2 linked regions of the Coturnix japonica genome follow. The protein of the gene in region 1 interacts with the protein of each later gene in a biochemical or structural test. Links are inferred from orthologs where the notes say so. Each region holds a gene or a part of one and is shown on either strand. Other genes may lie near its edges.

Region 1 (4,467 bases):
TACAGACAGGAGAGAAGCTTCATGTGCTGCAGAGTTTTACCATGCTTCCAGAAGAGGTTAAGTGTCCAGGCTCTCATCATCCAGCCTCCTGAATACACACATCCATTTGTAAATGCAGAGCAAACAGGGAATCCCAAAACTACCACACCAGCTACAGCTCTATGGCAAAGCATCCTCAGAGTCAAAAGCAAGCAAATAAAAGCCAATTCACACATGTCTATTCTCAACCTAGAAGATCCTGGGCACCATCCAAGCATCACTTCATATCTAACCCCCAAATCTCAAAGGATAAGCCCACACTTCTGACAGTTACACAGCCTTGGGAATTACTTCTCAAGCTTAATAATGTAGTGACATGCTAAGCAATCACTTATAGCACATTTTAACATTTGTTCAAGGTGAGGAGAGGGGAAGAGAGTTTCCAGTGACAGACTCCACTATATTTGCTAGCTATAGAGGCTCTGGTAAGTAATCAGACACGTAGTGGTACTGGATGCTTCCAGCCATGGCAGCAGCCTTGGAGTTCAAGCATCATTCATGTGGGTCACGGCAGATGATCACCTTGAAAAGCTGAACTCCAAGGAAAGCCTTCACTTTATTTCCATGATGTTTTTCAGAGCTATTTGGAAGGCACCCAAATGTACACAAGATACAAGGCCTTACATCTGAGCTGAAGAGTTTTAAGCTGACCACGTCAAGAAGTACAACAGTGCTCTGTTGTCTACATAAAATGAGTCAAAGCACCAGAGGTTGTGACATTTAATGAGCCAGAAGAAATCTAACCGGTCATCTTGATGTCTTTTAGGACATAACTTATTAGATAATTAAAAGATTACACTTTTAAGGCAACATAGAAGCAGAGATTTCCAGCATTTATCTGTCAGACTTTGTGTATCTTGCCTACAAAGATGAGTTTGGAATATCAGCCTTGTAGGAGCTGGTGATGAAATGACAAACAGAACATCTCTGCAGTTACAAAGTGAAAAGTAATGTCTGCTTATTTCATGCATACTATAAAAAAAAAGCACAAATAAATAGAAAATCAGAGATAAATGCACAGAGTCCAGCTAGAAGAGGAACTCAAAAGCACAGTTTAACTTCATTCAAGCTGTGTACTGCAAAATGGAGTCTGATGATTGGAGACACGGTGTCAGGGCAAAAAGAAGAGTGAGCTGATACAGAAAGCTTCTGCAGCACAGAGCTCCCAGCTGTGCCCTGTAACAGCAGATCCAGGCAGGACCAAATGCCAGCCTTAATCTGGATGGCTGCACTGGCAACTTTTCTACCTTAAAAACCAACAGTCCAGCCAAGGCCACAACAAGTAACAAATCCTAAACTTATCAGCATTGCTGTAAGCAGGGAACAGCAGCAGAATTACTAACTAAAGAGTTATTTGGCATGTGAAGAGTCTAAATAGGGACATTCACTATAGCAAAACCCTACCAAAACTCACAAGCAGATAAAAGCTTGAGAACAGTATTAGACAGGTCTTTATCATGCATTTCTACCAGGGAACTTTTAGAACAGCAAATACTTTCTTCTAGCTTAGTCTAATTAGCAGAGTAGTGGAAACATTAAGTATTGTTTCCTGTCATTCCCTTTGAAATGCATTCTTGCTCCCTTTTCTAACACAACCCCATGTTTTCCTAGAAGACCCAGCTGCTAAAATAGCATCACAAATACAAAGGTTGCAGCAGTGCACGGGTAACACCACTGAAGACCCAACAGAAAACTCATTCCTACCAACACATCGTCCCACACTCAGAGGAACAGAACAGCAGCATCACAAACACAAGGCCCTGCTCTATGCGAGCACTGTGGCTGCCACCATCTCACACAAGGTCAGGCCAGCAGGGTGGTGGTCTTCCACAGGAGAAGTCCTTCCTTCCTCATCCTCTTTTCCTTAAAGAAAGAATCAAAGCCAGACTGTTCACCAAGCATTTCTGTAGCACCAAGATGCCTACAGCTCCAAACGTAACAAGGAGAATAAATACACTGAGAAGCTAAAAAGAGAACATGAATGGGATTAGCAGAAAATCACACAATTAGAGTGATGCACATAAGGGGAAAGGTAGGAAGAAACAGGCAGCTCTTATCCTGTAAATCATATCTTTGCAATGGGATGATTGAGAACGAGCAGGAAGCCCATCAAGGTAGGACATGAAGGTAGAAAAACACAATTATGTTGTTTTCTCTCCCAGAGCAGAGATACAAACTCTGAGACACATCCACAGGGAACAAGGCACGTCCTTCACACCGGCACAACACGTAGGGAACCGAGCACGTATCGAAACGAGACAACAGCAAAGAGGTGAGCGGGACGGTTCAACAGGTCTCCCCGGGGAGCTGCGGGGAGCAGAGCGGCCTTGTGCTGCCTGCACAGCGACGGGGAGACCGGGAGGGATCAGGGGGGTGAGGGGTTGGTCTGCGAGGCGCAGGGGGCTGCTGAGAGCCCACGGGAGGGGCCATAGAGCTGCCACAGGGCCCAGCTACCGAGGAACGGACACCGAGAGCAGCCCCCGAGCGGACAGGGCCCTTATCGGCCTACAGACATGGCCCTATAGAGCGGGCGGCGCCGCTCCGAGCTAGGCCGGGACCGGGCCTCGGGGCCTGAGCGCGGCGGCAGCCCGAGCCCGTCCGCCTGGGGGTCGGTACCTGGACGGGTTCCTGTAGCACCGTCATCCTGCTCCCCTCGGCCTCCTCCTGCTCCTCCTCCTCGCCAAACCCGGAGCGGGGCGGCCCCGGCCCCGCCTCACTGCGTGTCCCGGCGGCGGCGCGGTGCGGCCCGGCCCCCGCTCATTTAAACTCGCAGCGACCGTTACCGGGGCGGGCGGCGGGGAGGGAAGGAACGAGGTGGGCCAAGAGCCGAGTCCGCCCGAAGCAACCGGCGGAAATAGCCGAACCCACTGCCGGAAACACCCGAAGAGGTGGGCGGAAAGAGCCGAACGCTGACGGAAAACAGCCCTCTCGGCTGCCGAACGGAAGCGACTCAGCTGGCGGAAACACCCGAGTGCGGACGGAAAGAGCCGAGCGCTGAGGCGGGGCAGGCGGTGTTGCCCCTCAGGATCTGGGGGTTGGAGGCCGCTTGGGGGCCTGAAAACAGCTTTGTACCAACACGAAATAATAACAAACTGCTTTTTGTTTTTGTTTTTTAAGCAAAAAATGGGACTTCAGGGTTACTCAAGAAGCCTCAGCGTCCCTCGGTGGTGGGTGAGGGGCCTGGTTCCCCCCCACAGAGCACAGAGGGCGCTGGCCCACATCTCTGTGGTAAATCCATCCATTTATCTGCCATAAAACCATAAAAAGTCGTTTTTTAACGACCCACAGATCATTAACTGGAGCTCAGCGGGTTTTTTGGGGTTTTTTTTTTTTTTTTTGGGGGGGGGGTGTGGGGGTCAGGTTTTAAAGGTTGGAGCTTTGATTGTGGAGAGCTTTCCTTGCCTCTGTGGAAAACCTGGTGTCCCTGTGACAAAGGACCACAGTGCTCATCCATTTCCACCCCCCTGCTATGTGCAGGGTCACCAACCAGCAGCCCAGGCTGCCCAGAGCCACATCCAGCCTGGCCTTGAATGCCTGCAGGGATGGGGCATCCACAGCCTGTTCCTGTTCCAATGCCCCCATCCAGGTCAGAAATGAAGGGACTGAGCAGGACAGAGCCAGCACCGACCCCTGTGGAACACAACCGCTGAGCAGCCGCCATCTGGATTCACCACCAATGAATGGCAATGATGGACACCTGGCTCCCAACCGGGTTGCTTTCACAGCATCATAGAAAACCCCATGTTGGAAGGGACCCATAAGGATCCAACTGCTGAGCCGTTTTGCCCCAGGAGCAGCAGAACCTTCCCATAAGTGATGGTGGAATGTGCAGACGTGAGTGTGTGTGCATCAGAGCCCGCTCTGTTATCATCATCCTCACCCCAATCTCTGCCCCTCTGCGTGATGAAGCTCCTGGGGTGGAAGCTCCGTCTGCTCCCTGTTGCACACAGGCTTCTCCTGACACCCAGGCCATCTTTGGTATGAACCTCTGCCTTATCTCAGGCTGAGGAGATACAGCAACAGGCTCTCCCTAAAGTGGGAGGTTATTTTTCTTACTTCTTGGGCTTCCAGTGAAGTGTTTGAACTGTGAAAGGGCAACAGCCTGAACTCTTGTCCTGGGACATCTCCATCTGCTGTAGCCATGCAGTTCTATGGATGAGGTCAGTGGATGCTCTGTGTAAATGGGACTGAAGCCACCCCTCAGCACCCCGAGCTCAATGCAGGGAGCACAGAGGAGTACAGCAGTGCAGAATAGAGGTATGTGCTGCTCCTGTACACATCATTCCAACCTGCCTCTGTCTGAATCTACTTATTGCCTTGGAGAGACAGAGCAGATCCCCAGAGCACAGCATGGCTGACGTATGCTGGGGGCTGCTGCAGAAGCTGGAGTTATCAGCCCTTGCATTCTTCTCGAGTCCTCCCTGTCCT
Region 2 (4,526 bases), on another chromosome or scaffold:
TTCTTTTCCAGTGTGAGTAATCCCAGCTCCGTCAGCTGCTCCTCTTAGAACTTGTGCTCCAGACCACCTACAGCTTTGTTGCCCTTCTCTGACTGTGCACTAGGGCCTGTCTTTCTTGTAGTGAGGGCCCCCATATTCCAGCTTTCATTAAGCACCTCAAACCAACTTTTATCCACTGTGGTAACAGCAGGCAACTATGAATAATGCCACCTCTAAACCTCACTTGTTTTCCATGATTACTGAAAAGAACTAGAACAATAACAGTGCTAAGAAATTGAATCTATACTTGTGACTTGAAGATTCATATATTAATATCTGGATACAGTTCAGAACACTGAATTATAGATGAGCTTTTAAGCAAGACTAAGTTTTGTTTTAATAGCCTGTCAGATAGTAAAATGCCTACATCTTGGGTGTGCAGCATATTAGCTCTACTGAAAGAAAAAGCAAGGTAAGTTTTATTTCACAAGTTAAAGTAACCTTTATTTATAAACATAAAATTCAACAGAAACTTCAGAGTATGCTTTTTAGAAGTCATAGTCCATAGGCGGCATATCAATGACGTAATCCAGCGTAGAGATGAAGTCAGCAGGTGGTTCTAGCAAGTCTGAAAGTTAGAAATAGAGGAGATCAATTACTCATAAAATCCAGAAGTTTACACTCCAGCTGGCTGCTGGTGGATTAGCATAAGCCTCTTGAATGGCTATGATGAGTTAGAAATATATTACAGAAAGTTACATGGCAGTGCAGCTTCGAGACCACTACCCATGCCAGTAGAGATGACCAGTTAAATTCAGCTCAGTTACATACAGAGTGCTCTTTGAGATAAGCATCCTGCTCTTGCACTTACAAGAGCAATAGTTGTTCACTACTGCAACAAACTCACTTCCTTCCTAAATCACTAATATGCGCTGAACCTCAGGCTAATTTTCCACTTACCAGACTCCCATGGCATCTTTTCAAGCTTTATAGGTGAAGAAGCTAGGTCCACAGGTTTGTCATAAGTACTTGGGAATATCATGAGAGGAACACCACGCAGCTTGATATCACTTAGTTTATCCTCTTCAGTAACATCAAAACTCTCAAAGTCTGTTTAGGAAAGACACGCTGTAGTTTAGTAACAGCGCACAATAGCATGTGAAGCTGCAAGTTGTCCTTGATTAAGTGAAATGGGAGTAGTTCCAGGACAACTCAGTCCAACAGTTCCTTCTTATGGAGTGCTTAGTTACAGTTACTTATTAGTGTCCATGCAATTTTGTATGCTAATGCTTATCTGAAGTGTATGTAACAGTCATTATAAAGCAAGAGTTTTAAGGAATTTTTCTAATCCCTATGCTGTGTCAACTATATCAAGCAATACGTATATTTAAAACACTCAAACAAGAACAAGGTCATGCTTCCAAAATATTGAATGCCCTTATGTTTAAGAAAGGACTCTGGAGAAATGTAATACCAGCTTAGTCACCACAACAGCTCAGTGGAAGTCTTGCAGCATCAACACTTAATCAAAGTCCAATTAGGTTTTAATAATTACCCCAAGAGTTCTTACCTTGAGGATCAAAAGGAAACATGTTTTCTATTTCTGGGTAAGCTTCATCACCCCCTCCATCCCAGCTTGCTAATCCAACAGCCTTTTCAGCAACCTTAAAATGAAGAAGTCAAGTTATTTGTGCTGTCGTGTTTTCTCAGTGTAGTACCCTTTCTGTGCCTGTAAACCTGGATTTTAACACCTTTGATACAAATAAGCTGCAAAAGGGAAAATGCTTCAGTTGAACTTGTATGATGGTACACAGTGGCAACAAATCTCTGCAGTATGATATTTAGGCTCATAACAATAAACTCCCACTAAATAGAATATGAACAAGACAGTAACACAGCCAATATTTTGTCTAGAGTTACTTCATTGCCCTTGTGTGTTCCCTAAGCTGTTGTAGGTACATCATGCATTCCTCTGATTCCCATCCATTACAGAAGGGTTGTACTCACTTTCTTTGCACTGCAAGGCTGATTTTTATCTTTCTTCTGTTCCTTCTTGCTTGTAACTCCTACAGTTCTGTTCACATTTCCAAGAGCCTTTCTGACAGAGTGAGATGTGGCTGGAGTTCTGATTGCTTTTTTTAGAAGTGGAGTATTGACTTGTGTTCTTTCTGATAAGGCTTTTGCTGCAGACAGGAAAGGAAAGCAAGCTTTAGCACCTTGTCAACCCTAAAGCTTGCTTCTAATGAAGTGTGTGTGCTAGAAAGCTAATTGTTGTTCTCCACTTCTAGATCAAAAGTATAAGCTCAAAAGACAGGTGATTTTCATATTTGTAATAGCTGATAAACTTAGTTTTACTATTTATCTGCTTAACCCATTTTGTTGTTCCTGTTCAAAACAGTGATTAACAAAACCCAGGACACGCACTTTACTCCATCCCACGCTGTCTCCATGGAGCATATACTCACATGATACCGAAGGGCGTCTTAACTGGTTCTTAGTAGCACCAACTTCACCATCCTCCTTATCCACAAAGATCAGCGTCGTCATCTCTGGGCTGATGAGACCACCCTGGAAAGGCAGACAGAAGATCTTGGCAGTTCTTGCTAATAGAAACAGCAAGTTTTTGATGTATGCTAGGAATGATGATGGCAGCTTGGACTGAGCACAGGGCCAGTATTAGATATGGCGGTTGATAACACGGCACCGTGCACTGGGCGGCCAAGCAACGCCTCGCAGGCCCGCCCTTCTTTAGGGCAGAAGGATCGCTCAACAGGCCAGAAAGAAAACATGGAGGAAAAACAGCACACTTACCTGCGGGAAAAGCCGATTTGGGAGCAGCAGAGCGAGGAGAAGAGCAGGGATAGCGATAAGCACAACCAGCCTCTACACCCGCCCCGCTGCTCCCATAGGCCGCTTTCGATTAACGCTCAGCCGCCCCATTGGTGACTACCGAGTTCCGGCTCCTCGTTGCCCTGGCAGTCAAGGGGCGGGGTCTCGGTGCGGCCTAGTTGGTAAACAGGGAGTGGAGGTGCGGGACCGGGTGGGCTTTGCTGGGGTGTTGGGTGGTCGTTGTGCCCGGTATGGCTGGGTGGAGGCTCTGGGCTATGAGGGGTAACCGGGGGGAGGCTCGTGGGATCGGTTCGGTTCGGAACGCGTGCGGTTTTTTAGTGTTTTAGGAGGAAGTAAAATGGCGTCTGGGACGGCGGTAAACGCGGCTCCTTCGGGAGGGCCGGGAGATGTGAGTATGGAGGAGCCGAAGAAGATGACGAGGGAGGATTGGAGGAAAAAGAAGGAGCTGGAGGAGCAGAGGAAGCTGGGGAACGCGCCTGCTGAGGTGGATGAGGAAGGAAAGTAAGTTCTGTAACACAGCTCGGTTTGTAAAGTAGGCTTATGTGGTTACAGAGTTGTGAAGCTGAGCTTAACATGAGGTTAATTAAGCTAAATTGTGCGGTGGTTTTTCCTGTGCCGTGTATTAATTTCATATCTCCTTTTACAGAGATATCAACCCTCACATTCCTCAGTACATATCTTCGGTCCCGTGGTACATAGATCCTTCCAAAAGACCTACGCTAAAGCATCAGAGGCCTCAGCCAGAGAAGCAGAAGCAGTACAGCTCCTCAGGAGACTGGTACAAACGGGGAGTGAAAGAGGTATGGGGATGCTTTTGTCCTAAAACAAAGCTTTTAATTATTCCTATGCAATAAGATATAAGTCAGTGACACCCTGCAAGATCTGGTTATATGCTTTGGAGGGTGACAGGAACTGGAAATTTGTACACAGCAAGCAGATGAGGAGAGGCTGAAGGAGCTGGGTATGTTCAGCCTGGAGAAGAGGAGGCTCAGGGGGGACCTCATTGCTCTCCATAACTTCCTGAGTTATGTTGGGAGGTTGTAGTGAGCTGGGGGTCGGCCTCTTCTCTCGTGTCATTAGTGATAGGACCAGAGGGAATAGTTTCAAGCTACAGCAGGGGAGATTCAGGCTGGACATTTGGAAGTATTACTTCTCAGGAAGGGTGGTCAGGCACTGGAATGCACTGCCCAGGGAGGTGGTGGAATCACCGACCCTGGGAGTGTTCAAGGGAAGATGTTGTGTTGAGGGACATGGTTTAGTGGGAGCTATTAGTAATAGGTGAACGGTTGGACTGGATGATCTTTTAGGTCTTTTCCAACCTTGGTGATACTATGATTCTATGATTCATTACCCAGTGTTTGGTAGTCACCTAAATGGCCTTTTGAGTTTGGTTGGAGCATGTGTGCTTTAGTTGTGTTAGAAAAGTAAATAAGTCAGCTGGGAGAAATACACAGATGAATCTTAGCATGTGTTTGTTTAATGTTTAACGCTGTCTTCTTTTGTTGTTTAGCACTCTATAGCTACCCGATACCGGAAAGGAGCTTGTGAGAACTGTGGTGCACTGACACACAAAAAGAAGGACTGTATGGAGGTAAGCTTGACACTGTTGATATTTTAATGGTTCAGAAGTAAACGTGAATTTAGTGAAAAACGCCTACCCTATAGGTAAAACAACAGTTACTTAGTTATTTTGAAAT

Evidence for each region.
Region 2: the proteins of CDC27 (region 1) and PTTG1 form a complex in vitro, tested with the Homo sapiens proteins (3 studies listed by BioGRID). The link is inferred for Coturnix japonica from reciprocal best matches to the Homo sapiens genes CDC27 and PTTG1.

The regions. Positions count from the first base shown.
Region 1 is NC_029542.1:2,284,310-2,288,776, reverse strand, and holds the start of CDC27 (cell division cycle protein 27 homolog), read right to left. Parts: upstream 2,914-4,467; 5' UTR 2,683-2,913; coding exon 2,656-2,682; intron 1-2,655. UniProt on the Homo sapiens protein: Component of the anaphase promoting complex/cyclosome (APC/C), a cell cycle-regulated E3 ubiquitin ligase that controls progression through mitosis and the G1 phase of the cell cycle.
Region 2 is NC_029528.1:9,901,442-9,905,967, forward strand, and holds PTTG1 (securin), read right to left. Parts: upstream 2,911-4,526; 5' UTR 2,791-2,910; intron 2,548-2,790; 5' UTR 2,527-2,547; coding exon 2,445-2,526; intron 2,163-2,444; coding exon 1,987-2,162; intron 1,644-1,986; coding exon 1,550-1,643; intron 1,090-1,549; coding exon 940-1,089; intron 608-939; coding exon 528-607; 3' UTR 457-527; downstream 1-456. Other genes in the region: pre-mRNA-splicing factor SLU7, read left to right, coding at 3,167-3,330, 3,476-3,629, 4,340-4,420. UniProt on the Homo sapiens protein: Regulatory protein, which plays a central role in chromosome stability, in the p53/TP53 pathway, and DNA repair. Probably acts by blocking the action of key proteins.